4 linked regions of the Rhinolophus ferrumequinum genome follow. The main gene of each other region encodes a partner of the protein of the gene in region 3 in a complex. Links are inferred from orthologs where the notes say so. Each region holds a gene or a part of one and is shown on either strand. Other genes may lie near its edges. The genes, in order: IQCG, IQCD, DRC1 and TCTE1.

What was found.
Region 1: DRC1 (region 3) and IQCG share a complex: the UniProt entries of both Homo sapiens proteins name them as parts of the nexin-dynein regulatory complex. The link is inferred for Rhinolophus ferrumequinum from reciprocal best matches to the Homo sapiens genes DRC1 and DRC9.
Region 2: DRC1 (region 3) and IQCD share a complex: the UniProt entries of both Homo sapiens proteins name them as parts of the nexin-dynein regulatory complex. The link is inferred for Rhinolophus ferrumequinum from reciprocal best matches to the Homo sapiens genes DRC1 and DRC10.
Region 4: DRC1 (region 3) and TCTE1 share a complex: the UniProt entries of both Homo sapiens proteins name them as parts of the nexin-dynein regulatory complex. The link is inferred for Rhinolophus ferrumequinum from reciprocal best matches to the Homo sapiens genes DRC1 and DRC5.

What each region holds. Positions count from the first base shown.
Region 1 is NC_046285.1:50,083,950-50,090,848, forward strand, and holds the start of IQCG (dynein regulatory complex protein 9), read left to right. Parts: upstream 1-3,888; 5' UTR 3,889-4,049; intron 4,050-6,899. Other genes in the region: RPL35A (60S ribosomal protein L35a), read right to left, coding at 1,343-1,487, 2,574-2,726, 2,917-2,927. UniProt on the Homo sapiens protein: Component of the nexin-dynein regulatory complex (N-DRC), a key regulator of ciliary/flagellar motility which maintains the alignment and integrity of the distal axoneme and regulates microtubule sliding in motile axonemes.
Region 2 is NC_046308.1:8,016,877-8,024,886, forward strand, and holds the start of IQCD (dynein regulatory complex protein 10), read right to left. Parts: upstream 3,019-8,010; 5' UTR 2,908-3,018; intron 1-2,907. Other genes in the region: TPCN1 (two pore channel protein 1), read left to right, coding at 3,360-3,516, 6,032-6,271. UniProt on the Homo sapiens protein: Component of the nexin-dynein regulatory complex (N-DRC), a key regulator of ciliary/flagellar motility which maintains the alignment and integrity of the distal axoneme and regulates microtubule sliding in motile axonemes.
Region 3 is NC_046296.1:54,081,039-54,088,731, reverse strand, and holds the start of DRC1 (dynein regulatory complex protein 1), read left to right. Parts: upstream 1-4,691; 5' UTR 4,692-4,779; coding exon 4,780-4,934; intron 4,935-6,789; coding exon 6,790-6,877; intron 6,878-7,693. UniProt on the Homo sapiens protein: Component of the nexin-dynein regulatory complex (N-DRC) a key regulator of ciliary/flagellar motility which maintains the alignment and integrity of the distal axoneme and regulates microtubule sliding in motile axonemes.
Region 4 is NC_046286.1:13,516,765-13,524,241, forward strand, and holds the start of TCTE1 (dynein regulatory complex subunit 5), read right to left. Parts: upstream 3,010-7,477; 5' UTR 2,875-3,009; intron 2,336-2,874; exon of another isoform or gene 2,279-2,335; intron 61-2,278; exon of another isoform or gene 1-60. Other genes in the region: AARS2 (alanine--tRNA ligase, mitochondrial), read right to left, coding at 5,498-5,662, 6,083-6,193, 6,306-6,389, 6,920-7,030, 7,281-7,403. UniProt on the Homo sapiens protein: Component of the nexin-dynein regulatory complex (N-DRC) a key regulator of ciliary/flagellar motility which maintains the alignment and integrity of the distal axoneme and regulates microtubule sliding in motile axonemes.

The sequences.
Region 1 (6,899 bases), on a different chromosome or scaffold from region 3:
TTTACCAATGTTACTAAATACCACAATATGGATCAATCCCATTATTCATCTCTGAAATGCATCCAATGATGACTTATATCCCGGTGGGGAGGGAACCAAGTTTTTATAGCCTTCAGTTTCTAGGTGAACACGCTTTGATTAAGAACCAATATGGGAGCATTGAAAGTCCATTTAATTTTGCTACTTCTAATGACAGTGTAAAAAACTTCCTGATGAGACAACTCAACTGCTTAGCAGGGTTCAAAAGTACCCTGGGACCCCAACACTGTGGCCAAATCTATTAAAAATGGAGCCTAACTAAAGAAAACAGGAGCTATTTTAGGAAAATCATGAGATCTGGATTCAAAGACTTGGGCCCAAATCCTGGGACCCAAAAACATGAGCATCAGTTTTCTTCTACAAAATAAGGCCAATAACACCTACTCTAACGAGACTGTCATGATGAAAACATGGGAAAAATACTAAGAATTATGCCAGGAAGGGGCAGCCAGATAGCTCAGTTGGTTAGAGCCCGAGCTCCAAGCAACAGGGTTGCAGGTTCGATTCCCACATGGGCCAGTGAGCTGCGCGCTCCACAACTAGATTGAAGACAAGCTGCCACTGATCTCCCGGGCAGCTGGATGGCAGTTGGTTAGAGCGCATGCTCTCAACAAGAAGGCTGCCGGTTTGACTTCCAGTTTGACTTCCGCGTGGGATGATGGGCTGTGCCCCCCTCCCCCACAACTAGATTGAAAACGTCAAACGGACTTGGAGCTGATGGGTCCTGGGAAAAAAACACTGTTCCACAATAAAGTCCTATTCCCCTTCCCCAATAAAATCTTTAAAAAAGGGAGGGGGGCTCTAGAAGAGGGTAAACAGGGTCTAATACATGGTGATGGAAACAGAACTGACTCTAGGTGGTGAACATACAATGTGAGATATAGATAATGTATTACAGAATTGTACACCTGAAATCTATGTACCTTTACTAACTACTGTCACCCCAATAAACTTTATAATTTAAAAAAAAAATTATGCCAGGAAAAATTGAATTTTTATTTTCTAGCAATTACTTCAGTGTCCAATAAATATCTTTGCCAGAAAAATGTTCATTTAAATGCTTTTCCCCTCACCGCAGCTTTAGCAAAATCTGAAATCTAGGCACAATCCACTTGCATATTTTGCCTTCATTTTCCTTCTAATGCCAAGATCTGATGTTCTACATTTTACACAGTAGCCACGAATTTTGTAGCATAATCTATTAATGACATTTTATAATCACAATAGTTCTTAGAAGTCAAAGCCCAAGCCTTGAGCTTAGTTTGACTCAACGGAGTGTCATATTGCTAATAATTGGACTTACTACACGGATTCTGTGTCCTATGGCTTTAGCAGGAAGGTTGCTTCGGAATTTGGCACGAACCATACCACTGTTTCCATGAGCACGAGTTACCTTTCCCCAGATTACTCTGGTTTTGTTCGGTTTGCCACCAGGAGTAACTGTGTTACTGATTTTAAAAGGGAATAAAAGAGGAATGAGAACTCAGGCAACCACTACAGTGTGGTACAAATTCAAAATGACATCTAGACAGTGGCTCTTGAGCCTAGTTAACCACTTAGTGACATGAGAAACTTGAAAATAAGCCTGGGCCATCATTCATTCAACAAATACTTGAGTATCAACTATATGCCACGTTTATAAATGTAATTTTTAAAAACTTTGTAAAATAGAGCCATTTACAAAACAAAACTTTCAGAGGATAACTATGTAAATATAGCCTTCAGTTATATGTTAAGTAAAATGTATAGATTGTCAGATGGTAATAACTGCAATATATAATAATAATAATAAAAAACAATGGGAGATAAGAAGTTTGAGAATATTTGTGTTTGCAAATTTTAAATAGCAAAGAAAGGCCTCACTGAGAAGGTAACACTGAGCAAAGACTGGAAGATAAGGGAACAGCCTGTGTTTAAAACCTGTGGTTTGTGTCCCTGGCTTGTGGAAAGGCAGGAAATAGATATCAAGAGTTAAATCCTAGCTGGATTAAGAGTAGAAATTGGGAGCCTTGAATGCATAAGATCTTTAACGACTTTAGCTTTTACTAAATGAGATGAGGATCAGTTGGAATTTGAGCAATGCAGCGATGACCTGACATAATTTTAAAGAGCTCTGGCTGTAGAAGGAAAAGGGGGCAAAGATGAAGGCATGTCCCCAGAGATTTTAATTGGTCTGGAATGGGTTTAAGAACCAAGGATTAAGAACCAATGCTCTAGGAACATCTTTAAGTATACATATAAAACATAATTTCAAGGAATCAACGAAATGAATTAAGGAACATGTAAAGTACTCTGTAAAATTTTTAAATCATACAAGGAGTTGGCTCCTTTCTTGAAACATTTAACAGCTGTACCCAACATCATCCACAAAATAACATCCTTCTGTAACCTCCCATCCCATGAAGTTCCTTAAAATCCCAAAGTAGAAGGCACAACAGTACCAATTACTTTACCAACATCTTTTTATTCCTCTTTGAATAGGAAAATGACACAGATCAAATAAAAATGCAAAAAGTATAATACTATAAACTTACTTCTTTGCCTTGTACACATACGCACATCTCTTGCCTAGATAGAATTCAGTTTCATCTCGAGCATAAACACCTTCAATTTTAAGAAGAGCTGTGTGCTCTCTCTGGTTCCGGAGACCCCGCTTATAGCCAGCAAAAATGGCTTTGGACCACAACCTAAAACACACAAAGTATATATTAACCATAAGCTGTTGTTAATATCTCCTTTAAGTTCAAACGTCCAGTATAATATGACTTGTAACGACCCTCACCCAAAAGTTACCTAATTTCTCCCACTAGTTTTAAACTCGCCTTTAGATTCATGCTGAACAAAAAACTTCGAGTACAAAACAATGAAAAGCAGTACCTTCCAGACATATTTGTCGTTTTAGAAGTCCTGTTCCCAGCAGGCCTTAAAATAAACAAAAAAATCAGTTTAAAATCTCGTAACGCATACTCCCCACCTGGTCCCCTCTCGTCTCTTAAACGTGTTACGTTAAATTCCTTTTTGATCGGCATTTCACGCTGAGTGTGGAAACGTAACTATGCCATAAATACATGAAGCGCAGTCTGGCACGACATCCCAACCCCAAAGAATGCCTAATAGCTAAGTAAACTTGAAAATAAGTGTCAAGACTCTACACTAAAATAACCCAAAGAAACTCCAAAGGAAGTTCTAAGAAAATTCATGCCATGATCAGAAGGAAGATCAAGGAGTCAGAGAAACATGCAGAAAACAACTCTTTAGCAATAAATGGGAAAGAAAACCGAAGAAACTGTAAGCAAGCAAAAGCCAAGACTGGAATGGGAGCAACTGGAAAAAATCCATCCTAAAAGAGCCACTGCCTCAAAAAGGTAAATGCAGACGAAGTGCATCTGTTTCACTCCGTTACGGCCCAGAAGAAGCAATTCTGATTACGGGAGCACCCGCTCTCCGGACGTCAGGGGACCAGCACCATCAGTCCCATATCTCCTCCATCCTGTCCTCCCTATTGCTGGAATCCATAGAAATCAGTGGCTGGCAGTGCCTCCGAGCCGCAACAGTGGCTCAGAGACATATGTGGTTGAACGCACTCCAGTTATTTACCCCCAAATTTCAGCAGCACGAAAACCACTCACCTCCCCAGGCGCCAAAATGGCGGAAAAAGGAAGGCGAAGCCCCGCCGCGTAGCCTTGTGGGAAAAATACTTTCACCTCGCCTCCAGTTTAGGCATCTTCCGCGACCGCCAAAAAAAAAGCCTCAGAAATCGTCTTCTGACTGAAACAAGCCACATTTAACAACACTCTTAAAATTCTTCCCTTAAGTCCTTCCATTTTTGCAAGCTGCAACATGTATTATTTTTTAGAATAGAGGAAGGCAAAGTAGTAGCCAACTAAAAGAGAAGCAAAAAGTCCCTCAAAGCTGACCGTTGCCATAGAAACATCTTAGCGTGGTTCCTGCGAGCTCCGGTTGTAGGTGGAAAAAGTGAAGCCGGACGGGAGGACATAGCGCCGCTTGAGGTACCTCAGATTTGATTCGCCAATGTAGGGGTAGCTTTCCCTCTTACTAGACAGGAGTAGGCCAACGGAGACTCTCGGATCCTATCCTGGAAGAGAAAGGCCGGGAGCACAAAGGCAGGAGGAGCCCTTCTCTTTACCTTACTCCTTCCCTCCTTCTGCTCCTTTATCTCTTTCCAGAAATGAGTTACATTCTTACCTCCATCCTTTGATTTGACCCCGAGGGTAAGGAGGACTGCCCTGAAAAGACCTTACTCCCTTTTAGGGGAATAAGGTAAACTGTCAGGCTAACGGTCTGGGCGCCCAGCACCATGCCCACACGTTCACGTCTTCAGTAATTACTTGAATACTAGCATAAGATAAGTTAATGGACGTCAGAGATTTATATTTCCTAATTATTGCACATTTATTTGGGTTACCCTATGGATTCATTCATTTATTCAACAGTTTATTGAGTGACTCCTACATACCAAGTTTTGTTCTTGATTCGGAGGACACTGAACAAAACAACAGAACTTGACCCTCGTAGAACTTACATCCTGGTAGGGGGGAGAAAGACAATAAGCAAGTAAAATGTATGGCACATTAGAAGGTGATGTGAGAAACATATTCTTTATGGAGAAAAATTAAGCTCGGAGGACTGTAAAGGATGGGATGGGAAGCCATTTGAGATTTCTGTATAGAGGAGCTGCTCAATCTGACTTCCATTTTAACAGGGTCACTGTGTTGAGACTGAAGGGAAATAAGGGCACCATCTGGGAGATCGATTCGGAAGCTATTGTGATGATCCTAATGAGAGATTATGGCATGTAGACAGAAGTGATGAGTACTGGAATTCTGAATATATTTTGAATGTAACACTGACAGGATTTGCTGATAGATGAGGAATGAGAGAGAGAAAAGGATGACTTCAAAGTTTCATAAAATAGGTGTATATAAATCATTTAAAATTAGATCGTCTTATAAATACATCAAGATAGAATTTATGTACCTTTATAGCCCACTCTCCCTATCCAATTTTCTGTGTCCCAGAAATATACCAGAAATCCCAATATTAGAGAATGTACTCACAATCTCACTGTTAAATGTACTGTTATAGAAATCCAAAGATAAGTACTCCTGAGAGGAATAACACATTGAATTTTATTCCTTTGTTCATTCATTCATCCATTCTACACATACTTACTGAGAATAGTGCCTGAAACTTAGGATACAATAGCGAGCATTGTCATGGTTCCTGATTTCATGGAACTTAACAGTCTAGTGGGGGAAATTGACATAAACATTACAAATTATGCAGGAAAATACAAGTGCAATGAATGCTTGAACAGAGAGATCCTGATCCAGCCTAATGAGTCAGGGATAGTGTCACTTGGCAGAAGTATCATTTAAGACATTTTCCAAACTGGAGGTTATGGTACATTAGATCATGGTTATAAAACTTTCTAAGCAAAACATGATAGAATTGAAAATATCAGAACGTATCACATGTTATAAATTGTTTTATGAAACTTGTTATTTGCATGTATATTTACATATATACATATATATGTATATATATACGTGTGTGTGTGTATATACACACACACACACTACATATAAAAATGTATACATGTCATTGTAGGTCATTGTATCAGTGTTGCCCTGGAAGGAAACAGTTGGCAGAGTTGAGGAGAATTTAATAAGGAGTCTGCTTACAAAAGTATAGGCACAAGTGAAACTATAAGGGATGATGCCGTTTCCAGGCACATGGGAAAGAAGTTACCTGAACTCCCAAGAGAGAGCAATATGGAGAGGATTGCCTGACAGAACCCATGCATGGCCTTTGACAGAGAAACATTGCCAACCAGTGGTGATCTGGCAGGGGTATCACCACCTAACCTCACAATCCTACACTTTGGATCTCTTTTGGAATCTCCCATTGATGCACTCCATATGGATCAGTCTCTCACGGCACAGAAAATGGTGGAGATTGGATCTAGAAGGGCACATAGCAGATACCTAGCAAAATGCCACTGATTTAAGCTGCTACCTGATGGATCAGTGGGACTTTACAAGGTAAAGAAGGGAGAGGAACAGTTCCAGTTAAAGGAATAGCATATGCAAAAACCCTGAGTTGAAAGGGAGCATGATTCAGTTTTGACCAAGAACTGCAAGGCAATTAAAAGCTTTATTTGGGGGTCTTTTTTAGGAATTGCAATCCAGGAGACACAGATTTTGTTGGAAACCCCAACTGTGTTCTGAGGGGGAAAGAAAGAGACAGAGTTTGTAAAAACAGAAAAAGGGGGGTACCCAGAGGGATTACACAAATTGTTTTGAAAGAGCTGTGATTGGTAATGGCAAGATGAAGGAAGAAGCAGGAATGATTCCTGGGTTTCTAGTGTTGAAGAATGAGAAGCTAGAACAGCACAAAAGCACTGGATACTACATAAGCATAGCCCTGTCTTACCTATGTGAAGTATATTGACCTATGCCCCAAGCCGAAAAAATGTTAAAATAACACAACAAAAGAACAAAACCTTAACACCATGCTACTTCCTAAGGCTGTCCTGGCACCAGAAAATTTGGCTAGTTTGGAGTATGTTTTTCTCAGTTTATTACATAAAGATTGTTTTATATGTTTGAATTTTTGCATGTGAGATTTTTGTTGTGTGAGGCATATTTGTACCACTCCTCTCAGGATCACTTTATTGTGAACAAAATCACACTGGAAACTCACCATTCACTATTCATTCAGTATAGAGCAAAATTCTCCATGGAGAATTTAAAACTCTTTTAAGCAGAAAGGACTTTGGTTTACCAAGAAGGGGTAACATCTTGATAACTGTATTAAACTGATTTTCCAGATAAATA
Region 2 (8,010 bases), on a different chromosome or scaffold from region 3:
GCCAAAGTGGAACCACTTTTTACTATTTCTGTTTTTAATTTTTCTGGTTTCTATATTATTCATGTTTTTCTGTTAGTGACGGAGGAGAACAGAGATCCACCAAACTCCTCAGCATTTTCCAGTTTCCTCCTTACAAGTAAGTTCATCATGATTTTTAATTCCTCTTTTGGTTACAGTGTAGCTTTAGAAGAGTTTATTTCTGGTTACATCCAATGGTAGTAATGGATTTAGAATTTTTCTCACATAAACTTCCCTTACTTAAAAATATATTTAAATTATAACCTTATAAAATGCAAGACACTGGCTTTTCCTGGCTGACAGGTTATGTTGAAACCAAGGGTTGTGGTCCTTAGTGAGTGAAATCAATTTGCCAGTTAAAAATAAATGAAAGCGAATAGAAAACATTAAAGTGCGTTGCGTGTAGTAAGTATTCATTTGTAATTAAACACGTGTCTGCTGCGTGGAGAAGGAAAATGTATTTCTTTGTCTGGTTTGTGGTTAAAAAACCAACCTGTGTTGGAAAGCATGTCAAAGCTGTTACATTGGTCGTAGGATATAACCCGCTGCTATTATTTGAGAGCTAAGGTCAAAGAGATACTTTTTGCTGATGCTCCGTATTTCAAACGATCTTGGTTTTTAATCACTTTTGCTTTCAATTCCACCAAGTAGGGCCTGCAGGGAAAAGGTGTATATGTGTGTGTGTGTGTGTGTGTGTGTGTGTGTGTGTGTGTGTGTGATTTGCCTTGCATAAAAATGCCAGTCTAGAACAGGGTTTCTCAACTGCCACACTATTGACATTTTGGGTCAAATGATTCTTTGTTGTGAGGGCTGTCCTGTGCATTGTAGGATTTAGCAGCGTTCCTATTCACCTACTGGATGGCCATAGCATCATCCTTTTACTACGAGTAGCTGATCAGTTGAAGATAGAATGTATCCAGATATTGCCAAATACCCCTCCGGGGTAGGAGGGTGCCCCTGGTTGTGAACCACTGGTCAAGACCACAATGGCCTTGCTCTGCTAGAAAACTCCTGGACTCCCCATCCCAAGTCCAGTGCTCCATCCAGCTTCAATGGAAGGCTTGTCTAAGTCTGGTCCAGCTCTATGGGACAAGCTGCCATCTGTGCCACCTAAAGCCACCATCAGTTACAGGATCAAGAACAGGTTCACAAGGTGGTGTTAGGAGCCCTGGGTGCATGACTCGCCCCTGCCAGAGGCTCAGGGAATAAGTGTGGGCAAATCCCTTATCTCTGTGGCACTTGGGGATAAAACACCTGTCCTAGCCACATCAAAGGGAGCTGGGTGGAGGAGGGATGATTTGCTAGATCCCTTTGGAGAGTTAAAAGCCCTCTTCAAAGGGAAGTATTATAATATGTTCAGGCATGAATCAGGTGGTACATCAGCCTCATTGCCCCCAAGCTCTTCTCTCCCGGGGGAAAAAGGAAAGCGCATGGGGAAACCTAGCAATTGACTCCCCCCTTAATTTAATTTTCACTGCAAACCAAATGAGAACCCCAAGTTAAAACCCCAGCATTTTCATCTGCCCATGTAGACCTGGAGTGTGTTCCCAAGAGTACCCTCACCCCGAGCCAGGGCAGAGCTCTGTCTGGGATGTCCTGGGCAACCCGCGGAGCCTGGAGCCAGGAGACTGATACGAAGACTCTGCAGCCCTTGTTACAGCTCCTGTCAGTCAAAAGGCTGTTTGGGGCTTTCTGGATGGAGGGTGAAGTCTGGGAAAAGGCATGGTGGGCTAGATTCTTGCTTTCCGCTAACAACATTTTATATTCAGACAAGGCATAAACAGTGACCTCAGAACTCAGCCCTTCTCACTCTTGCCTTTCCCACCATTTTCACTCCTTGGCCGTTTGTCCTGTCCTGTCTGGGTTATCCCAGTTATGAATCCCACTTCCTCTTGATCACTTTACAGGGGGACCAGGAAATAAGAAAGTCTCCCGGATTTGATCGATTAGAAAATTCAGCCATCACAACCTTCCCTCATTGCTTTTCGAGGAGAGGGTTTGTTGACCTCCTTACTCCATCCTTCTGGAAGGGAATCACTGCAGATGTACTTTTAATTTACCTGTATGTTATATTTGATTCATGTCTCTCTCTCACATGAGACAAGTTCCAGGAGGGGAGGAATGACGTTGGTTGTACGGATTGCTCCACCCCAGCATCTCGTAGTAAGTACTACTCAGCAAATACTTGTTGAATAAATGAATATTCAAGATATGGAAAGAGATAACTCTGTTGTTGGAGCTATTTTAAGCAGGCAGAGTCAAGGATGCATGTGTTCTAGGGGAAAAGCTGCTATGTACTGAGCACTTACTATGTTCCTCCGTTCCATGCCAAGCTCTTCATTGCTTCACCTCGTTTAATCCTCACGCAAACCCTGTGTCTTACATTTGTAAACGACATCATTTTAAGGACTGGGGTGGGAGTTAAGTTTCAAAGTTAGCACAAAAGGCAAAAATTGGCATAATCAAAATGACCTAATTTAAACATTCACTCAAGTGAGATGCCTTTCATTGAATACTCACCCTGGAATCCATGGCCATTGGGTGGAATGGAAGGGGACTTACAAACTATCCTCTCACCCCCAGCACCTATATTTGACTTGAAATTAGTTAACTCTGGTGTGACTCCATTTGACTCCACGTTTTATGGATGAGAAAGCGGGGCCATGAAGATGATAAGCGGAGGCGTAGAGTACATCGAAGATGTCCACTGGTCCTTGCAGGCGGTCGAGGGGGAGGTCGAGGGGGAGGCAGGGTCTGGAGAGCAGGATCCTGGGGCGGGGACGGGATCGCAGTGGGGGCTATTGATTCCTCAGGGAGCCAAAGACAGTGAGCTGGTCCCCATTCCACATCTCCCCTTCATCCCCAGCCTTTCCCAACCTGGTCACTCACCTGCTCCAAGTGCTCCAGCTTTCTGTATTCACAGTTACCACCTCTGTACCTGCGTTGCTAGGTTACCCGCCAAACTCAGAAGGAGGGACCAGGCGTCTGACTGATTTTTCTTTTTCACCATTTAATAACTCGTTCGGCTCAGTTCGTCCCACCTTCTGAGGTCTGACCAATCAGGGGCACTGTCTCTCTGACCCTCCACCAATTGAAAGACTCTGGGTTGGGCAGAACTAGTAAGGATGGGAGAATGGGAGGGGGAAAGGGGCGGAGCTTCTTAGTCCCGCCCCTGCTTTGGAAGGCGGGCAGGGAATCTTGCATCGGCAGCGGGCGGGAACTGGGGAAGGACGTGAGGCTTGGCCAATCAGAGCTCATCATAGCAACCCAGGGAGCCAATAGGTTTCAGCGAAGAGGGAATGAGGCGGGGCCGGGGAGGTTCAGGGGACAGTAGGCGGTGGATGGGAGAGCTGGCGCAGCTGCCGTGGTGGCAGCAGCTGAAGTGGCGGCGGCGGCGGCTGCAACAGCTCCCGGCTTGGGGCTTTGGCGGCGACGCCGGCAGGCTGGGCTGCACGGTGCTGAGCCCGGCGCGCGGTCCGGTTTGCTGGGGCGGCGCGTGTAAGAATCCGAGGGGTGCGAGGGACGGCTTGACGGAGGGGGCAGGGGGCAGGGGTCAGAGGGCGCGAAGTAAAGGGTTGCCGCTGGGTACTTGGGTGTGGGAGGTGGTCAGGGCGGGCCCAGAGGGACAGCGAGGAAGTCATGGCTGGATTCTCTTCCTCCAGCCCAAGCCGGGGTTTTGCACCCTCTCTGTTTTTCCCCGGCTTCCTGGGGCGACCCCCACGCGGGGGCCCACACCAGGGCTGGGAGCACGTGGAGCTGGAGCCCGCACTCCTCTTGTATTCACCCTCCTTCCTCCACTGCTCGTCGCCCTGGTGCCCTCGGATGACCCCGAAAGAGACTCGTTCCCGGTCAGGCTGCCCGAGTGGACAGGCTGCTGGCCCTTTCCTGGACTTGTCCCCAGTGGTCACCCATCCCTTTTGGGTCCTCTATAGAACGGACGCAAAGCCCGTGGAAGGAGCACTGAGCTAGGACTCAGGAGCCCTGCACTCGGTGACCTTGGGCAGGTCCTTTACCCCCCTCGGGCCTCACTTTTCCCTCTAAAGTGATGGGTTTGAATAAATTCAGATTATGGAACTGGTTCTGAGCGGAGGCATAGGATAATGGTTAAGCGGCGGCGAGGCAGGGGGATCCCTAAATTCAGACTGCCTAGGTTGAAATCTGGCTCTACCACTTCCCTGCTGTTTACTTATAAGAGACAGGTTAAGTTAACTGCTCTATGCCTCAGTTTCCTCATCTGTGAAGTGGGGGTTTCTCAACAGCAGCACTATTGACATTTTGAATCATTTATTTCTTTGTTGCTGCGGGTCTCACCTGCTTATTATAGGATGTCTAGTGGCATTCCTGGCCTCTATCTTCTAGCGCTCCCACGCCCCAAATTGTGACAATCAAAAATGTCTCCATGCAGTGCTAGTGTCCCCTGGGGGGTGGGAGGCAAAATAACCCCAGCTGAGAGCCAGAGAACTAAGAATGCATGCAAGCAAGCAGTCATATATTATTAAACAGTTAAAATCCACTAGCTACTATGATAATAATAAGATTACGAAACCTTGATGAGTTGAAAGGGAGAGGAGATTCTCCTGCCTTCAAAGTAAGTACAGGACAATGGCAAAATGTTGATCTTTGTCAAAGATGGGTGGTAGGTACAAGGAAGTTCATTTACATAGTCTCTACTTTTGAGTATGTTTGAAAATACCTGTGGTGAAAAAGCTAAACCAAAAAAAAATAAAACCTATAATTCTTAAGACAGCCAAATGGTAGTGTTTCATTTGAGAGTTCCTCTTCTGTCCCTCCACTACTGAGATTTAAAAGCAAAAGAAATCCCCAGATCTGGAGAAAACAACAACAAAAATCTCACAGGAAGTTTGCTGGGAAGAGAGCTACAGGCTTAGTTAGTAGAACAGTGCTCACTTTTGCTGCCTCGTTTTAAGAAGATATTGTCACACAGGAACCATTATTCTAATGGTTCGTGAAAGAAGTAAATGGGGGGGTTGTCATTCAGTGGGTTAGTCTGGAGGCAAAGTTGAGTGAGCCCAGAAGGCCACAGCTTGAGGAAGCAACCTGCTGTTGTTTTCAAGTTCAAAGGTCTGCCGGCAGATCTGCTGAGTCTTTGCTTTTCTGTTGGTCCTCCCCAGCGGAAATGGGATTGTGTATAAATAGGAGCTGTAACAGGCTAGTTCTGAGTGTTTTAAATTGGGAGCTCAGGATGAGTGCTTTTGCTGTGTGACTCTGGACATCATTTAAAAAAGTACTCTAGTCTTCCCTTTCCTCCTCCTAAACCTAAATCTAGGAGAATAAAGCCTATATAAGGGTGCTTTGGGCCCGTATAGGCGACCTGACATGCTAATTCTTTGCAGGTCATTGATATTTAGGTGCTGCCTAAATACCAGGTTTGGGACTTGGAGAAATTGTAGTGTCCTGGCTAGGAGCACAGGGAGTCAGATTGCAAAGTTTAAAAGTTTGGTTTTCTAGTTGTGGGTTCTTGGGGAAGTTACTTAACCTCTCTGAGCCCGAAGTCTCCCCCTCTATAATGGAGGCTGATAATCCTACCTATCTATTAGGAAGTTTCAGTCAGCTTTATTTAAAAATTGCTAGAACAGTCCCTGGTATGTAGTAAGCACTCACTGAGTATTAACTGCTATTATTTTAATGGTTGTATATTTTTAAGTCTTTAAAGTCTTTAAAAAAACACATACACAAAGAATGACAGAAAAGGGTGGCGGTGGAACATATTAGTCATTATCTCAGTCTCCAGACATAATTACCATTAACTTTTCAGTACGTGTTCTTGCAGAGGTTAGTTTCCTCATTTTTTAATGCTATTATTCTGCAATACTTTTCTTTTTTTTGAGATATCATTCACACCATATAACCCAGCCATTTTAAAGGGTACAATTCAGTGGTTTTTAGTCTATTTGCAAGATTAAGCAACCATCGCCTCTGTCTAATTCCAGAACATTTTAATGTTGTATTTTAATAACTGTCTTTCTTTTTTTTATCCCCCGAACCCTAGAAGATGCCTCAAATGGAGGAGTTTCTGAGAAGCACTTCTGGGCCAGTGGCTTTGAAAGGGAGCTCAAAGCAGACGCTATTTACAGCTCTAGACATCGCATCCTGAGGGCTGCAGGAGAGGAGAATATGGCCGTGGCCATGAGTTTAGATGACGACGTTCCCCTCATCCTGACCTTGGATGAATGTGGGGCTGCCCCACTGGCTCCCTCCAACGGCCTGGGCCAAGAGGAGCTGCCTAGCAGAAGTAAGATGGTAGGCTGGGCTGGGGGTGGAGGGCGGGGGGCGACTTCAGGCTGTGAGTTGTGGGCTTGGTGGTCTAATAGTAAAAGCTTGTACCCAAATGCCTGACCTTGCATTTGGCCTCCAAGATCGGACACAGAAACTACTGGGAGATTCTGGGGTCCTAATCCTATACCCCCAACTTAGGAATGCTTCCAGGGGCCCGCACCCCCCTTAGCGCCTTGCCTCCCTTGCATCTTCAGGCGCCTTGGTTTTGCCCATGGATGCTTGCTGGGGACCTAGGCACACCTGCTCCTTGGCTAGCTTCCCTGCCCCCATTCCTTGTTAAAAAAAGCAACAGATTTCAACACCAGCCTCCGTCTGTCCCAATCTGAAACCGTTGGCAGAAACGCAGGGGTGACTGCTTCTCCACACTGGGGCTCTAGCTGTGGGTCCTACCTTGTCCAGGACAGGATGGAAGGTGACAGGCATTTGTCGTGATCTATTGATTTGAGGGTTTGAGGTTTTTACTTTCTCTTCCTCTAAACCATAGCCTCGCACAAAGTGAACCCAAGAGAGGGCGTGAGCTTTAAATTTTTTAAAGTTTAAGTGTGTTTCTGGCAGAATGAGAGGTCTTAAAAACCTTTCTGGGTCTTGTCCCAAAGCCATTTGCTTCATTTGCTCAGGCCTTGGGTCCAGGGGAGGCTTAAAATAACCTGCCTTTTACAGAGGGTCCTATGACATTTAGGGACTGACGCTTGAGGGTCTCCTTAGCAGATAGATGTTTCTCCTGGCAGCCACGCCCCTGAGCCAGGACAGAGGGGCATCGCTCTTCTCCAGGTCGCAAGTGAAGACACTTTGGTTCAGGGAACGATAAGCCTGGCCCTCCCATGTCCTTTGTCCAGAGAGAACAGAGTTGTGTTGTGGAGCTCAGTAGACTCTCCTTGGAAGTGATGAAGTGTTCCTGTGCGTGGGAGTGCAGCGGGAGGTCTGGCTCCCTATAAACTTGCTTCAACGTGTTCACCACACCATCTAGGGTGGCAGAACTGGGTGGTCCACGAAGGTCAGAATGTAAATAAGACTTTTCCCTACGAGCTGTGCGGGGCTGAGAAAGCAGTGACTCTGGTTTCAGGCACACTTCTTAATGCCCAAGCTTAGTATTAGGCTCTTTCTTATCTTTTATCTTAACTAAGATCCTTTTGCAAGGTAGGCAGAATTATCAGGGCTTTACAGAGGAGGAGACAGTGAGTCAGAGAGGCTAAGTAACTTGTCTGAGGTCACACAGCCAGCCGGTGGTAGAGTACAGATTTGAACCCAGGACTGTGAGTCCAAAGTTCCTTCCCCTCCTCCCTTTTATCCTCTCCTCCTGCTCCTCCCACTCCTTTTCCTCCTTCTCCATTTTTCTTCGTAAGCCCTTCATAAATGTGAGCACGGGTTCTTAGGGTTTACATATATTATCTCATCATATAATCTCAAACTAGAGTAATTGTCATTATCTGTATTTTACAGAGGCAGAAACAGCCTCAGAGAGGTTAAGTAACTTGTCCAAGGTTACACAACTAGTAAGCAGCAATGCTTATCTGGTCTTTCCTCTCACGTTACTGTGTAAGGTGCTTTGGGGAAAGGGGTATAAATGAATGTGACAGTCTCAGTTTTGGAGTAGGACACCCCCTAGTGAGGGGGGCGGCCTGTCCATGGCCAACAAAGGAATAGACTGTAAGGAACGGTGGTTGACATACTAAGGGTGTGGATCATTCTGGAAAT
Region 3 (7,693 bases):
TCATTGATGTCTTTAGAGCAAAACATTAAATAGGATTTTTTGTTTTGTTTTTTAAGAAAGATCAGCCTTGTTTGCTCCTGGGTGTTCTATAATCCTGTGACTAGTTTCAAAAAGCATAGTTACTAGGCAGTTGGCAGTAGCAACTGTTCATAATGTACTGTTCTTGATTCCCCCAGAAATGGGTACTGGGCAATATATAATAATACCTGGGTCACATTGAAATTAGTTTGTAAGGTAGTTGTTTCATACTCAAAACATTTTCCCATAGAGTGTTAATGTATGGTGTTAATTTTCCAGGCTAATTCCAAGAACCTAATAACCCACACTTAGTACCCCAAAACTATAGTATATGAACGATAAGCTCTTATAAAAACTTTGTTTTTCTAGCATTGCTTTTGAGGAGAATATTTTTTTACATCCTGTTTTTTACATCAGAATTTATTCTTCAGTTCTGGCAATGGGCATTTAAAAAAATCGTAATGGGTTTGAAGAAGGTGAAGGAAGAAATGTCCCAATATGAACCCAGGCTAATTATCCAGCTGTGTGCTCTTAATCCCCTGCCCTCCCAACTTCTTGGTTGCCCTCACAGTTACCTTTCCTTCTATCTGCACATTTCAAATGTGTAGCAAGTACCTGACACACCAGAGGTATGTGCTAGGTCACCACACTTGGGTTTCAATCTAAATTTTAAAGGACCTGGTGCTGCCACCGTGTCTTGTTCCTCTTCTGCTCTCATCCTTTTCCCTCTGATCACAAATTTCCTGAAAGAAAACTTCCTAACTGCTTTCATTTTTCTTCTTGTTTTCATTTTGAGTTTCTCAAGGCCACCCAAACTTTTAATACAACTTTTTTTAAAAAATAAATTTTATTGGGGAAATATGGGGGAACAGTGCGCCTCTCCCAGGCCCATCAGCTCCAAGTCACCGGACCTCAATCTAGCTGTGGAGGGCGCAGCTCAGCTCCAAGTCCAGTCCTCAATCTCCAGGTACAGGGGGCGCAGCCCACCATCCCATGCGGGAATTGAACCAGCAACCTTGTTGTTAAGAGCTTTCACTCCAACCACCTGAGCCATCTGACCATCCCTCTGGAAGCTCAGTGGCAGTTCATTGTCTTCAATCTAGTTGTGGAGGGCGCAGCTCACTGGCCCATGTGGGCATCGAACCGGCAACCCTGCTGCTCAGAGCTTGTGCTCCAACCAACTGAGCCATTCGGCCTCCCCAACAACTGTTTTTTTAACTTATGTTCAACTTTGCAAGCTTTGACTCGGGGCAAGTTACTTATTTTTTTCTAAGCCTCAGTTTCTTCATCTGTAAAATGGGATTAGTATCACCACAGTTACGTGTTATGAATAATGCATGTAGTGTGTTTAGCACTGAGTGGTCTCAGGGAGGTGCTTGATTTCTACTAATACCTAGTTCTCAAGTTTTTTACCTTTGATGTTTTCCCTAAGCCATATGACCTACTCATGACTTCCCTTCCTCCTTTCATACCTTTTGTAGGCAATACATAAAGATGATGATGAGACAGTTCTAAAAATAACTAGAAATGAAGAAAACAAGATTGCCTTCTGAGAATCTATTAGTATAATTCATATCAAATGGGAGATAGGGGTAAACCAAGAAATTATGTAAATGTTTGATGAATCCCCAAATCCCAATTAAGGTGATTCGGTGTGACCTTATGGATGTAGAATTAAGACGTGTGTGACTTAGTATGCCAAAATTTAACCAACATAATTCTTTTTCGGGAAGAAGACTAAGCTGAAGTGAATGACCAGCCTGTAGCATAGCAAAGGAAGCCCATATATCCAGGTTTTGCTTTTGTCACCCAAAACTTCCCCAGGGATGAGGGTGCCATGCCCCAAGGACTTGACCTGTTCAGTCTTTGTGGCAAGTTGTTCCCATCGTGGGCTCCTGAGTCCATTGTATATCATCAAGAAACTTCCCAGTTATAGTTTGATTCCCTTTGTAGGTCAGACACGTAGATGTGCTGGTCACCAGTCATAAAACACACACATGCCCTGTGTGTCAGTTGTAGTTTTTTTGCTCAGATTAGTGTATTCTCTATATGTTTTTCTTTTTTGAGCTTATTAGTGTAAGTCAGTTCTCAAAAGCAAGTCTGCTTTTGGAATATGGGCTACCAGTTGAGGACCAGACTCCAGGGGCCAGTGAATTCTCCTATGTCCCTCCCCCAAAAACCTCTCATCTGTGAGCCCTACTCTTGCTCACTACAGTCTCTTCAGGATCTCCTGTTACCACTCTTTAAAAAAAAAAAAAAATTAAATGAAAAAATAAACTTTATTTTTTGTTACATGAAAAATGATTTGTGTTCTTTGTAAATTTTTTTAGAGAATTAAAAATCATCCATAGACCTAACCCCCAGAGATATCAACTACTTTGTGTTTTTCCCTCATTTTTCTTGTGTACATACTACATATATTTTAAATAAAATTGGGATCATCCTCTACATATTGTGCTGCCTAATCTCTTCCTCTGTAATATATTTTGGATGTCTTTCTAGGTTAGATTTATAGTGGCTACATTGTTTCTCATCCCATGAATGCTTAATTAGTTCCCCTATTGATGGATTTTGGGTTACATCCATAATATTACAGATAACTGCAGTGAGCATACAAATAAATTGTACGTTTCATTAGAAAAATATTTGTTGAGCACTCATGTACATACCAGCTATTGTGCTAGGTGCTGTATGTAACAGTGCTGAATAAAATTGACGTAATTTTAACCCAATGGAGCTGTAGCCTAGACCCATTATCCCCAGGATAATTCTTTTAAGTAGAATTGCTTAGTCCATGCATATACTTAGTGAGAGGTATTGGCAAACTGTCCTAAAAGGTACCTACCAGCAGTGAATGAGTGTCTTTAAAGAGATTTATTACGTAATCAGGGCTGTCTGACCACAAGGAAGATCTCCCAGTTGGTTGGAAGATGGCTGGAGAGAGCCAGGAAAGGAGCCTGGCTCAGGGCTTTTATTGTGGTTAAGGGGTGGGGATGGATGCACACTGTTGGAACCTCCCGCCAGCCAGGGCCAAAGGAGAGAGCACCCAGGCTTTGTTTGTTTGTTTTTTAAAGTCAGCTGCCCAGATGTGGAGCAGAGGGAAAAAAAGCTGTGAAGCTTAAAGGCTGTCAGAAATCAAACAGCAAAAAAGGGAGTCAGATTCCTTATCTGTCTGGAGTGATGGTATCGGGGATACCTTGATGGCCAAGTATCTTATTGATCACTCTCCATCGCTTTTTATGGTACGTGTCCCATGTAACTGCTGATTCCCACTGACTTTCTCATGGCAGCCAACTCCCAGCCGTAGTCGTGCACACACACTTGGATTTGTTTCTCTTCTCAAGGTGGTGCAAACGTGGGCCAGGACCAGTAGGCTTCCTGGTCAGAGCACTACCTCTGATTCCATGGCCCCTAGGGAAGTTTAATACTTGAGGTTACAACTAAAGGGGAGAGAGATTTGACGGATCCCTAAAACCCCAAAGCAAACATACTACTACCCCCACTGCTCACCCCAAGATGTGGGACAAGGATTTGGGCAGCTGTTGGAACTCTTGGCTGTTCCAAGATTTTGGCACTTGCTCCAGAATTTTGGCACTCCTAAATCTATCACTTGTAGACTTGCAAAAAATCCAAAACACCAAAACTCTTTGCCTCTGGGGAGGTCTTACAAAGCGCTTGTCTTCTTTGGCCCCACAATTGCCTGAGTTGAGTAGGCCGAGAGTAGTACCATATGCCAGTTGGAAAAATGGTACTCACGTGGTTGGGACTTATCCAAGGCTGCAGGGCAGGTCTAGGACTAGGACCCGCATTTTCTCACTACTCCAGAGCCCTTTCCCCAGTTTCCCACAGGTCAATGGAACAAGACCCTGTCAAATATCCAGTTTGTTTTTTTTTAAAGGGCTTTAACTCTCAAGAAGAATACTATTTTTGTTGACAACGAGACAAAAAAACACCCAGGAAATAGGGCTTTTTCAAGGGACAATGCTTCCTTGAGGGTTTAATTGTGCTTCTGTACCCTGTTATTTCTCCCGGCCCCCCACGCCTCTGGGTACTATTTCCCTCTGCTCCCCCTTTCTTCTTTCTGTAAGTATGTGATTGAGGGTAGTGGTGGTAGAATTGTCCTAGGTTTTAGCCCTACTGAAAACGGCTACAGGAGACAACAATCCCTTGCTGGGTAAAAATTTATTGATAGCTGGGGGTTTCACGTTCTAGCGGAGAGAGGTGCTCCATGCACAAAGTAGGACCTCAAAAATGAATGGATGATGAATAGATGGATGCGATATACTTTAGTTCAAACTTTCCAAAGAGGCAGTAGGCTCGGAGCAGACCTATTCTGTACCATCCATGAGGAAAGGTCAACACCCATACCCTTAGCACAGCGCTTGGCACAGAGGTGCTCAATAATATCTGATGAACATGATTTTGAGGAATGTTCGTTTGATGAGTGAATGAACGATGAATTCATCATCTGTAAGCAATGAACCACAACTTGGTCCAGCTCTTTAGTCTTCCAGTCTCCGCTAATATGACCGGGCCTTCGTGGTGGCCCAGGACCGTGCACCCCAACTGCAGGAGAGAGCAATAAAGCCCAAAGCTGGGGCACCACGTTCTGAATGCCGGTGGGCGGGGCCTAAAGAACTGCGCGTACACTCACTTCCGCCGCGGGTCAGGTGACTGCTTTTCCCTAGTAACTGCTTGTTGCTAGCAACGCGGCGGCGGTCTGGCGGCGGTCCCCGCGGAGCTGCCTGGGGAGACACCGCTATGAATCCGCCCGGACCCCTGGGGGACCTGGAGGAGACAGAGGAGGAGCATTTATCCGCTTCGATTCTCCGGCCCTCGGTCCATTCTGATAACCCTCAGGAGCGGATCCAGGCCCGGCGTCTCCGCATAGCGGCGCGCCTGGAAGCCCGGAGGCGGTGAGCGGGGTGTGGGCGGGCCGGCCGCGGGACCCGGGAGCCCCGGAACCCCGGAGGTAGTGCGGGGCTGAGGGGAGCCGTTGACCGGCGCTGGAGCCCCTGAGGTGAGGGGCCGGAGTGCCCCAAGTGTGAGCGGGCCTTGTTTCTTAATGAGAGAGAAAACAGGTGCAAGCAAAGTAGGAGACACTAAAACATTTAACACTAGTAAAGTCAAAGGCGGAAATAATAATCCCTTCAGCACTTTTGTTGACTGCCTGCTGCACCAGGCACTGTGGCGAATACACTGAAATGCAGGCCATGCATGGCCTGTCCTCGGAGATGTCTCTCCTTCCTCCCAACCTGCCTTCCTCCACAAGTATTTACCCAGTGGACCTCAGCTATTATTTCTGGTTTCAGTGGCTTATCTGGTTGTGTGACACAAAGCCTCGCTCGTGAAGAGTCTGAGATGGAGAACCTTACCCCTCTCAGGCCAGGGCGTCCCGCGCCATCCATTCAGTCACAGTGGACTGGCTGTCCTCAGGGGTACCAGGAGGCACCTGTGTGACCCCCTGAATTCCTGAACGCCCTCGCTATGTAACAGCACTTACACCTTGTCCGGCTGGTCAGGGTCGGCTGCCCTACCGAGACGGTGGCTTCTCATCTGTGGCCATTGGACACACGGGGCCCAAAGTGGCCTGGCTGTGTTCCAACCAAACTTTACTTATGGACACTGACGTGTGAATTTCACGTAATGTTTATATGTCACAAAATGTTCTTTGTATTTTGATCTTTTTTCCTCTAAATTAATAAAATTCGTGTTTAGAGCTGTTGTAGGTTTACAGCAAAATCGAGTGGAAAGCGCAGAGGTTTCCCATATACCTCCTATCCCCCCCCCCCACACACAAATGCATAACCTTCCCCACCATCAACATCCCCACCAGAGTGGTACATTTGTTACAATTGATGAACCTCAGTGACACATCATTGTCACCCAAAGTCCATGTTGTTTCACTCTTGGTATTCTATGGATTTTGACAACTATATACTGACATGTATCCACTGTTAAGTATTGTACAGAATGGTTTTGCTGCCCTAAAAATCCTCTGTGCTCTGCCTGTTCATCCTGATCATATTTTTTTAACCATTTAAAAATGTAAAAATCATTCTTTGCTTGTGAGCCATACAACAACAGGTGGGTCAGATTTGTCACACAGGCTATAGTTTGCTAATCCTGATATGGTTTATCAGTGTGATGTTCTGTGAGATATCCAGATGGTCCGGATCTATTCAGACTATACTTTGACAGAGATCAGGAGAATGAACACGGCCCCGTGAGTGTGAGTAAATACTATTATCAACTTTTTAAATCTTTTCCAGTCTGATAGGAGGGTAATGATGCCTTATAGGGTTTTCACTTTCATTTTTCTGGTTATAGGTGAAGTTGAACATATTTTCAAATGTCTATTTGCCATTCGTATTTCTTCTGTAAATTGCCTGTTCACACTCTTTGCCACCTTTTCTATTTGGTATTTTGTCTTTTTTTGTATTGATTTGAAGGAGCCCTTTCTATTTTATAGAGAGCAAAATTTCATCAAATATCTTTTACTGGTTTCTCCCTTGACTTTCAAGAATAAAATCGAAAAATTTTAGGAAGTAAAATCATTCAATCTTTTTTCTCTCTCAAACTTTGGTCTTATTCTGAGATGGGCTCTCTCCTGTATTTACTTCTAGTGTTTTATGATTGTGTTTTTTTATATTTACATTGTTAACCATATGAAGTATATTTTTGTATGTGGTATGAAGTAGTACGGAAACTTTGAATATAGATTTTAAGTACTGAAAATAACTTCAGTTTCTCTACTGTTTTCCATCACAGGGAAGCGCTTGGAGACTATTTAGATGGAAAGAAAGAGAGTGAGGAAGATCAAAGCAAGAGCTATAAACAGAAAGAAGAAAGCAGACTGGTATGAACTGGGTAGCAAATGAGTCCTCTCAGGCCTGTGAGACTAGAGAGCTGGGTGTGATGCCATGGTTTTCGTATTTAGACTAGAAGAAACTCAGTAGAGATCAAGTCTCAATAGAGATTCTATTTCTGTCTCTTGGCAGAACTGAGTTTGAACGTTCCCCATTTGGGGAGCTCTCTAGGACTGAGCTTTCATAGTATAATTTCTTATGTGATGCTGTGTCTTCTTTGCTCCCACACTTTTAATGGTATTTATTCACAGGATAAAGTCCAAATGATTTAGCTTGACATTCAAGGCCTTTTGTAGTCTGTCTACATTTGAACTCTCCAATCTTTTCTCCCATTATCACCGAATTTGGGCCTCCACTTTGGCTAGGCCCATCCAGTTACTCACCTCCAGTGGGGCGTGCTTCTTCCTGCTTTGTTCCTTTGACCATCTGGAATACCAAGCTCCTCTCCTCCCCTTTTCCTCCCTTCTCTCCTTTACTCTTTCTTCTCTCCTGACATCAGGTTACCTTCCCACACTTTAAGACCATCTAAGTTCCAACCCTTCCATGAGTTCCTCCGCAGCCCAGGCTGAACTTTAATTCACACATTGAGCCCTTTTTGTCTATGGAATTCATTTCATCTTGGATAATTTTCTGCCTTGTATGACTTTTCCAATGTGTGTGCACACGATGTCCCCAATGAAATTATAAGCTCTGTGAGAGCGAGAGCCTGTTTGTGTGCCTGTGGAGTAGTGCATAACTTAACAAACACGAAAAAGAAAATCGATTGTCTCCCATGGCAATGACAGGGCTCCTGGGATATTTAATAA
Region 4 (7,477 bases), on a different chromosome or scaffold from region 3:
CTGGGCATCACCAGTCTTCAGCTGAGAGTGGTAGTAGGTGGCAAAATCCTTCCTGGAAGCCTGCAGGGATGGGTAGACATACATTATCCAGGGGCCTCACCCATACAGCCCCCAAGGGCCCATAGAGGGCAGCCCCAGAAGTGGCAGAGCCGTCGCCTTCCGCTCTGGAGCCTTCTCTCCCTGGGGAACGCACTGGGCAGTCAGAGAATCCCAGAATTTGAAGGCTGGAAGCACGTTCAGGACTCTAGTCCTTCGGGGCAGGAATCCTCCCTGACATTCCAGGGAGAAGGTTGGGGCCAACGGCAGTGAGTGCCTCTCCTGCCACCACCTGGTGTCCTCATCTAAGGGGGACATGCTCTGAGATGGGGGAGAGGGGCATGCTCAGTGACCTTTCATCGCCTGGCACCTGTCTCATGGGCCTGTTGAGCTTCACATGCTATGTCTCCAGCATGAGGCCAATCTACCCCAGGACCACAATCCCGGGGGGAAGGCCAATCCTCCTCCCCTCCAGGTCCCCACCCTGAGTCCTCAGGACCAGGGTCCAGGGTCCTGAAGTCAGATTCAGGCCACACCTCAAAGGATTAGGTCTTAAGGTCTGCTCTCTACATGCCCTGCACAGGTAATATAAAGTGATAAGATGCTCCCAGTTTGGCCAGGATTGTCCTTAGTTTTGATGGCTTGTGTCCGGTGGACACAAGTATTCTGGGAACCATATCCTTGGACAAGTATCCGTGGACAAGTGTTCTGGGAACCATATCCTTGCCTAGATAGAGCTGCAATTTATTGACTTCTAGGCCCTTTGTTGCATGTGCACAGCACGAGGCAGTGTAGCAGCTGGCTCAGGACCCGGGAGTTACGCTGCCTGAGGTCGAATCTCCATTCTGCTCCCTAGCATCTGAGAGACCCCATCAGATTTAACCCCAGTAAGCCTCCATTTCTTAATGGTACCTACTTCATAGGATTATCTAGAGGATTAAGGAGCTAATGTGTGTGAGACATTTCATATAGTGCTGGGCGCAGAGCCAGCACTCAAGATACGGGTCCGATCTTGTATGAAGACGTTAGATGCCTGACCTTCCTACGTTTATTAAATCTTCAGATTTATTGTGGAGGATTATTATTGTTGTTTTAACACTATTATCCCCATCTCACAAATAAGGAAAGCTTCAGTACCGGTAACTTGCTAAGTGTCACATAGCTAGTAAGTGGATAAGCTGAGGTTTCAGCGGATGTCTGTTCGAAGTCCTCTCTTACTTCTGTGCACAAAAGCATGAGAACTAGTGAGATGTTGGGGTTGCTGCCTAAATGCCCCAGGCTCGTTGTTCACAACACTTTCCCCGTGGACCTCTCAATTTCTCCAGCTCATGAGCGCTCTCGTCTCATCACCAGTGTGGAGCCTGGCGGTCCCCGTTTGGTGCTGACCTAAACAATCCAGTCTCCCTTACCCCCTAAATCACTGCCAGGTACAGGGTCCTTCCACAGACCTGGATTGCGGCCTGTATCCTTCTGCGCGAGGCCCCATGGGACCCAGGAGAATCCTGCAGAGCTGTGCTCTCCTGCCCCACATCTCACACTGCCCTCCCTGTTCCTCACAGACCTAGGATTCAATGCTTGAATCTCTTACACATTCCGTCCTCTCAGAGGAGGTCTCAGACCTTTTGCATCCTCCTCAAGTTCCCAGGTAACCGCTTTGGGCAGAGGCTCCTCCCACCTGCCCAAATGGGAAAGTTGAAGATGCTGGAGGAAGCCCTCTCCCCTTTTTGCTCATCACACCCCTGGTCCTCAGTTGTCCTCACCTCCCTCTTCTGAACCGAGAAGCTGAAGCCTCGGGCCTTCTTTAGGCCCACCAGCACCTCTGCCCCTGGACACAACCATGGGCTACCTGGCACAGCGCCCCCCAGCGCCCCAGCACTCCACCCACTTCTCTGGTGCTTCCCACGCCTTCTCAGCCAGCCTCTCCTTCATCTCGGGCATCTGTCCTCAGGGCCTTGGGCTTCTGTCTACATTTCTCTGATCTCTTTCATGCCCATCATGTCAGATCCTACCTCAGGCCAGGTCACTACCAAGTTCCCATTTGGGAATTCCCCATTTGTGGAATCATAAAAGAAGGAAAAAAAAGTTTCTCTGTCGGGGTCCAGGCCCAGCCTGCTTGGTCACTGGGGAGTGAAACAAACACCCTGCTCAGGGCCCTGGGCCTGGCCCTCCTCCCACTCCTGTCCACTTAAGTCTGTTGTCTTAAAAAGGACCGGCGGCTTTTCTCTTCACCCCTCATCCCTACCTTCAGCTCAGACACCCCAGCGGGGAAGCTCATCTCCAAAGGCCAGCGAGTCCCTCCCCCAACCCGCCTAGGGTGATGAGGCCCGAGCTTCTCCTCGGTAACCAAGGGAAACCAGCCCCACTGTGGGAGGGAAAAAGGTGCGGAAGCTTCTGGACCTGCAGGAGGGTGCAGCCCGCAGGAGCTGGGGTGGGGGGTGGGGGATCAGCCTTCCTGAGAAGACTGGGTCCCCGGGCTTAGGGCTGCTCTCCTCCACGACCTACCCTACGGGACGCCCCACATTTCTCTTCCTCCTTCTTAAGGTCCCCTCTCCACCCTCCCGCCTCCCCTTACTCGCAAACCCAAGCCTCTGGGCCAGTTTGCAGACAGTGACTGTGGCAGGAGAGGAGGCACAGGTCTGGCTCAAATGTGTGGGGGTGGAGGACCTTCCGCAGGTACTACCCCGCCATGCGAAATGTGGGAGCCAAGACTGGGGCCATCTGCGGGCTTCAGGCCGGGTGAGCTGAGGGCACCCCGCGGGCGAGAGTGGGGGCAGGGAGAGTTCAGCCCGATAGTGGAGAACCAGAGTTGAGTGTTCTCTCTCCCCGAGGTCACCTCACCCGCTCCGGGTACCCAGGCACTTTTCTTCCGGAAGGGCCCCCGCGCAGCCAGCACCGGTCGTTAGCGACGCCCGGCGTCTCCAGGGGGCGGGTTCGAGGGCCAGTGTGCACATGCGCGTGTCCGCTTGTGTGCTTGCACCAGGTCTAGGTCGGGTGCGGTGCAGGCGCGCAGGGCTGTCCTTCGGCCGTTGTCACTACGAGCCTTGGCAAGGGGTTGACGCGAGGAAATTTGTCTCATGCGCTGTGCCGGGCCGCTGTGCGGGCTGTGGGAACTCTGTGGCATGAGGCGTTCTTTGGGCTTCTGGGGGACGTTTATGAACGGGCTTTTGTGGGGGAAGTTGAGGAATGGGGGACTCGGGTAGGACTCCTGGAGTGCCGTTCCTTCTTGGTACATTTTGTTGGAAATGGGAGTGTTAGGAAGATCTGGGAGAAGCATCAACAGTCTCTTCTGGAAGTTACTGGAACTCCCGAGGCCTCCCGTTGCCAGGAGGCGCTGCAGGAGAGCTGTGGGCTGCAGCATCCCTGCAGAGGAGCAACTTCCACCTTTCTCTAAGATGTAAACAAGGCTGATGTGTGGCCCCAGGTAGGAAGGGTCCAGCCTCCACAGCACTCCTTCACTCAGTCCTAAGCCTGATGCCCCCAACACAGCCCTGGATGACAGGATGTGGTGCCCCCTACCCCCCAACCTTGGGTGACAGGACATGGTTGGTGCCCCTGAGGGCATGGCTGACCAACTTCAAGGGGTTGGCTAAGAAGCAGCAGAAATTGCCCTTCAGGAGGAGAAAGGCAACCAGAGTGGTGGCAAGTTTCACAGAGGCAGAACTTAGCTTTAAGCTCCGCCAATGATGATTACGTATTTTTGATCTGTGGCTGGGAATCCACATATGCAGGGGGCTGATTTGTTATTCGTGGATTTCAACTGCAAGGATGGTTGGCTCCTCTAACTCCGCTCCCTGCACTGCTCAGGGTCAGCTCTACCACCATGTTTCCCGGAAAATAAGACCTAACTGAAAAATAAGTCCTAGCGTGATTTTTCAGGAGGACATCCCCTGAACATAAGCCCTAATGCATCTTTTGGAGCAAAAATTAATATAAGACCCAGTCTTATTTTCGGAGAAACATGGTAGTTGGTTACCCTGGATAAGGTAGCATCTCAGCAGCTCAGTTAACGCATCAGTAAATGGGAGTATAACTTCTCACCATAGTGTCCACGTGTAAAGAGCCGGGCCCTGTAAAGCGCCAGGCCCTTGGTGAGCTGCAGTTACCAAGATCTTGAGGTAAAGCTTTGCAAATTCCACAGAGCTGAGCAAGCAGTCAGGGCCAGGCACCAGGGATTCGGGTCCCTCTCAAGCCGTCATCAGTGATTTACCAATATACCGCAGGTGCCTCAATCAGAATGAGAAATGGTGCAGGAAATGAAGCCAGGAGGACCTGCTCTACTCTAATAATTTTAAGTAAACGGCCCCAGAACTTAATAGCCAGGAGCCTTTGACTTCAAGATGAGTCCATGAGGTCCTTTCCTTTATGTAGCAACAGAGATTTGGGAATAGAGGTGGAGCTCCGGCATCTGGATAGGTCCTGGTAGGGAAGGAGGGCTGCCCTCTATCCTTCAGCTTCCTCCTGCTCTGAGCTGCCGATTTTCAGCTTCAGCTCAGGCGTAGGGCAGGTGCTGTGCAAAAAGTCGCCCTGGTTCCTGCTCTTTGAGCCCATGAGCTGCCATCTCCCAGCTCACTGTGCCTGGTCTTCTCCCCCTAAGGGCCTCTGCACTGGCTGTTCCCTGTCTGGACAGCTCTTCCCTCAGAAAACCATGTGGCTCACACCCTCCCCTCAGGTGCCGCCTCAGTGAGGCAATGCCACCACCCCACCCACCCGATCCCCAGGCTGCTCTTTCTCCATAGACATCACCTCTGACACCCTCTTCTCTGTATTGCCTGTTTCCTCACTAGATGTAAGCTCCACAAGGGCAGGAAGTTTTGTCTGTTTGGTTCTTGCCACATTCTCAGCAACTGACCGGTACCTGTTTCTCATTCTATCAACAAATCACCAGGGCGTTCATTAAGACAAGTCATTGTTAAAGAAATAAGTGACACCAGAGAGGGTCTGCCCTGCTGTAATGACTTCTACACGACAGTTCTGGATCTTGGTGGCCAGGGATGGCCCTGTGGGTGCCCAGAACGGGCTGGCATAGAGCGCCTGACCGAGCGCTCTTGGTCCTGATGTGGTACTGGGTGGCCTTTCAGCCCAGTGTGAGGGGTCAGACTGGTGATGGGGCCCCCATACCAGGTTGCTGGGAGGGGGAAGTCTGCTCTTTTTTTAAGCAAAAGAACCTTCTGGAACTGCCTTTCCTCTGTGAAACTTTTTAATGAGCAATCACAGCCAGGACAGCCCGTGTTTTCACTTTCACCTAGTGTGGGTGTGTCTCTGGGCCGACTTCTGCCTTCACCAGCCCACATCTCCTTGTGTCCACGTTTGCGTCCGAGCAGCCCAGCGTGGCCCTCTTCAGCTCAGGTGCTTGGTCTCAGCCTCCAGTCCTCTACTTCAGCCTCGGGGAGCTTCTGCTGATTCCCCAGGGCTCCTGGCACTGGCCTATCTGCTGTCTCTTTAGTCTGTATGAGTCCCTGGGTCAGAGCTGGTTGAGGGCATAGGCTCGGGCCGTACGGAGGGCAGCTTCCAGGTCAGCAGTGCTTCCGGTGCCCTGGGCCACCACTTGAGAGCCCCAGGCTTTGCCCCCCATGTGGCTGCACACGGCCAGTGCCCAGGCCTCTGCTGTGAGGGTCGGCGTAGCACTCTGTACAGAAACAGAAGGGGCAGCAATGCAGAGCAGCCCTTTGTGCGACTGTCCATTCAATGTACCCTCGAGAGTGGCATCGTGGGGATTAGCAACCCCTCCCTTGCCGGGCACACGGTGACGCCCCTGGGTGGAGACAGGCGAGGGGTGCGCTGGGGTGTGTGCGGAGGCTGGTGAATGTCTGCTACTTGTTTGCAGGGATGTGCAGCCTGGAGGGGGGGGGTAGTAATTAGGGAATCTCAGGGTTCCCTCTCCGGTGGTTGGGGACAAGAAGATGGCCCTATCCCCGTTCTGGGGTGTCCTCATAGATCACCTCTACCCAGCCTTGGCTCCCTTGTCTGGGAGGAATAAAAGGCGTGGAATTAGGGGGCTGGACCAGGAGATGGGCAGGAGTGGGGGCGGCTCTCCCACGTCCCTCACCTGGGCCACCTGACAGGCACATAGCACATGTCCCATGGGCTGGGGGCTGAGTAGTAGCACGGACGTGCTGGGCGCCTGCTCACACAGCTGCCGGACCACCTTCACCAGCACCTGAGTAAGGGAGGGCAGGTGGTGACCCCATAGGCCCCAGGTTCCCAGCTACCTCCCTGTCAGGACTCCCCTTCCCAGACCCTGGGGACACCCCCCAACTCCAATAACTCACTGAGAGCGACTCAGTGGAAACTGTGTCCACAATCAGGGGCTCCTCTGAGTGCCGCTGCAGCAGCTCCTGGGTTTTCTGTGCAGCCTGTGGGGCAGGAAGGAGAGTGGGTGGGTCAGGCTAGAGGGCAACTGGCCCCCACTTCTGACCTGAGGCCCAGTCCAGAAATCCCCTCCTTCCCCCTGGCAAAGGTCTTCAACTTTGAGCAGAGGGGCCAGGAGTTCTGCCTAGAATGACCTCCTTCTTTTGGGTCCCACTTATGTCCCTCCTCTCCTCCCTCACCTGTGTCCTTTCATCTTAGCTCCAGGACCCTACAAATAGGTTGCTGAAGGTGAAAGGACTAAGGCTGGAGCACTGATGGATGAGAGGGGGCAGGAGGAAGGAGGATGAAAGTCAAGGAGTAATTAGGGCCGAAGGGAGTCACCACGTCAACCAGCTTCCTGGAGGAAGAGCCTGAGGCAGACTTGGGAGTTGGGGAGACAATTTGGCAGAGAGAAGTAGGGACGCCAGGTGACGGCATCCAGCTGGCAGGAGAGGGCCTTGCCTTGAGGCTTCTCGGTGTGTGCACTAGTGTCTCTGACCCACGTTGGGTGTGCCTGCTATCTGCCCCCTCCTACCTGCCCCATTTCCAGCTTCCGGATGGCAGTGTTGGCACGCCGCTGCAGCACCTTCAGTGTGGCCTGCAGCTCCCGCCGCTGCCACTGGGGCATCACAGCGGTGTCCACAGCCTGTGGCCAGAAGCAGTCCATCACCTTTGCCCTCCCCCCAAACCACAGCCTCTGCAGGGACCAGCAGGGTCAGGGAAGAGACCATCCCCACCATCCTGCCCTGCAGACAAATGACAAGTAGCTGGCCAGCTGGGGCCCCACAGGAATGCTGGGGAGAGACTGGAAGCATCCAAGGAGGCACGGGGAGGGGCACAGAGCCAGGAGATGGGGGTGGGGTGGGGGCGCAGCTCCATGTTGGGGTGGCCCTCACATCAGTGAGTCGTCCCATGTCCTTGGACAGCCGCCGAGCCTCCACCACGTCCCGGCTGCCCCGACTCAGCCGCTCTGCAGCTGCTTCCACCTCCTGGGCCAGGCTCTGGCCCACCTCTCGGGCCTGTAGGGAGGGAACAGGATGGTCAGGGCTGCTCAGCTTACTTTCGGGGCTCTCACACCACTGTTGCTTGGGGC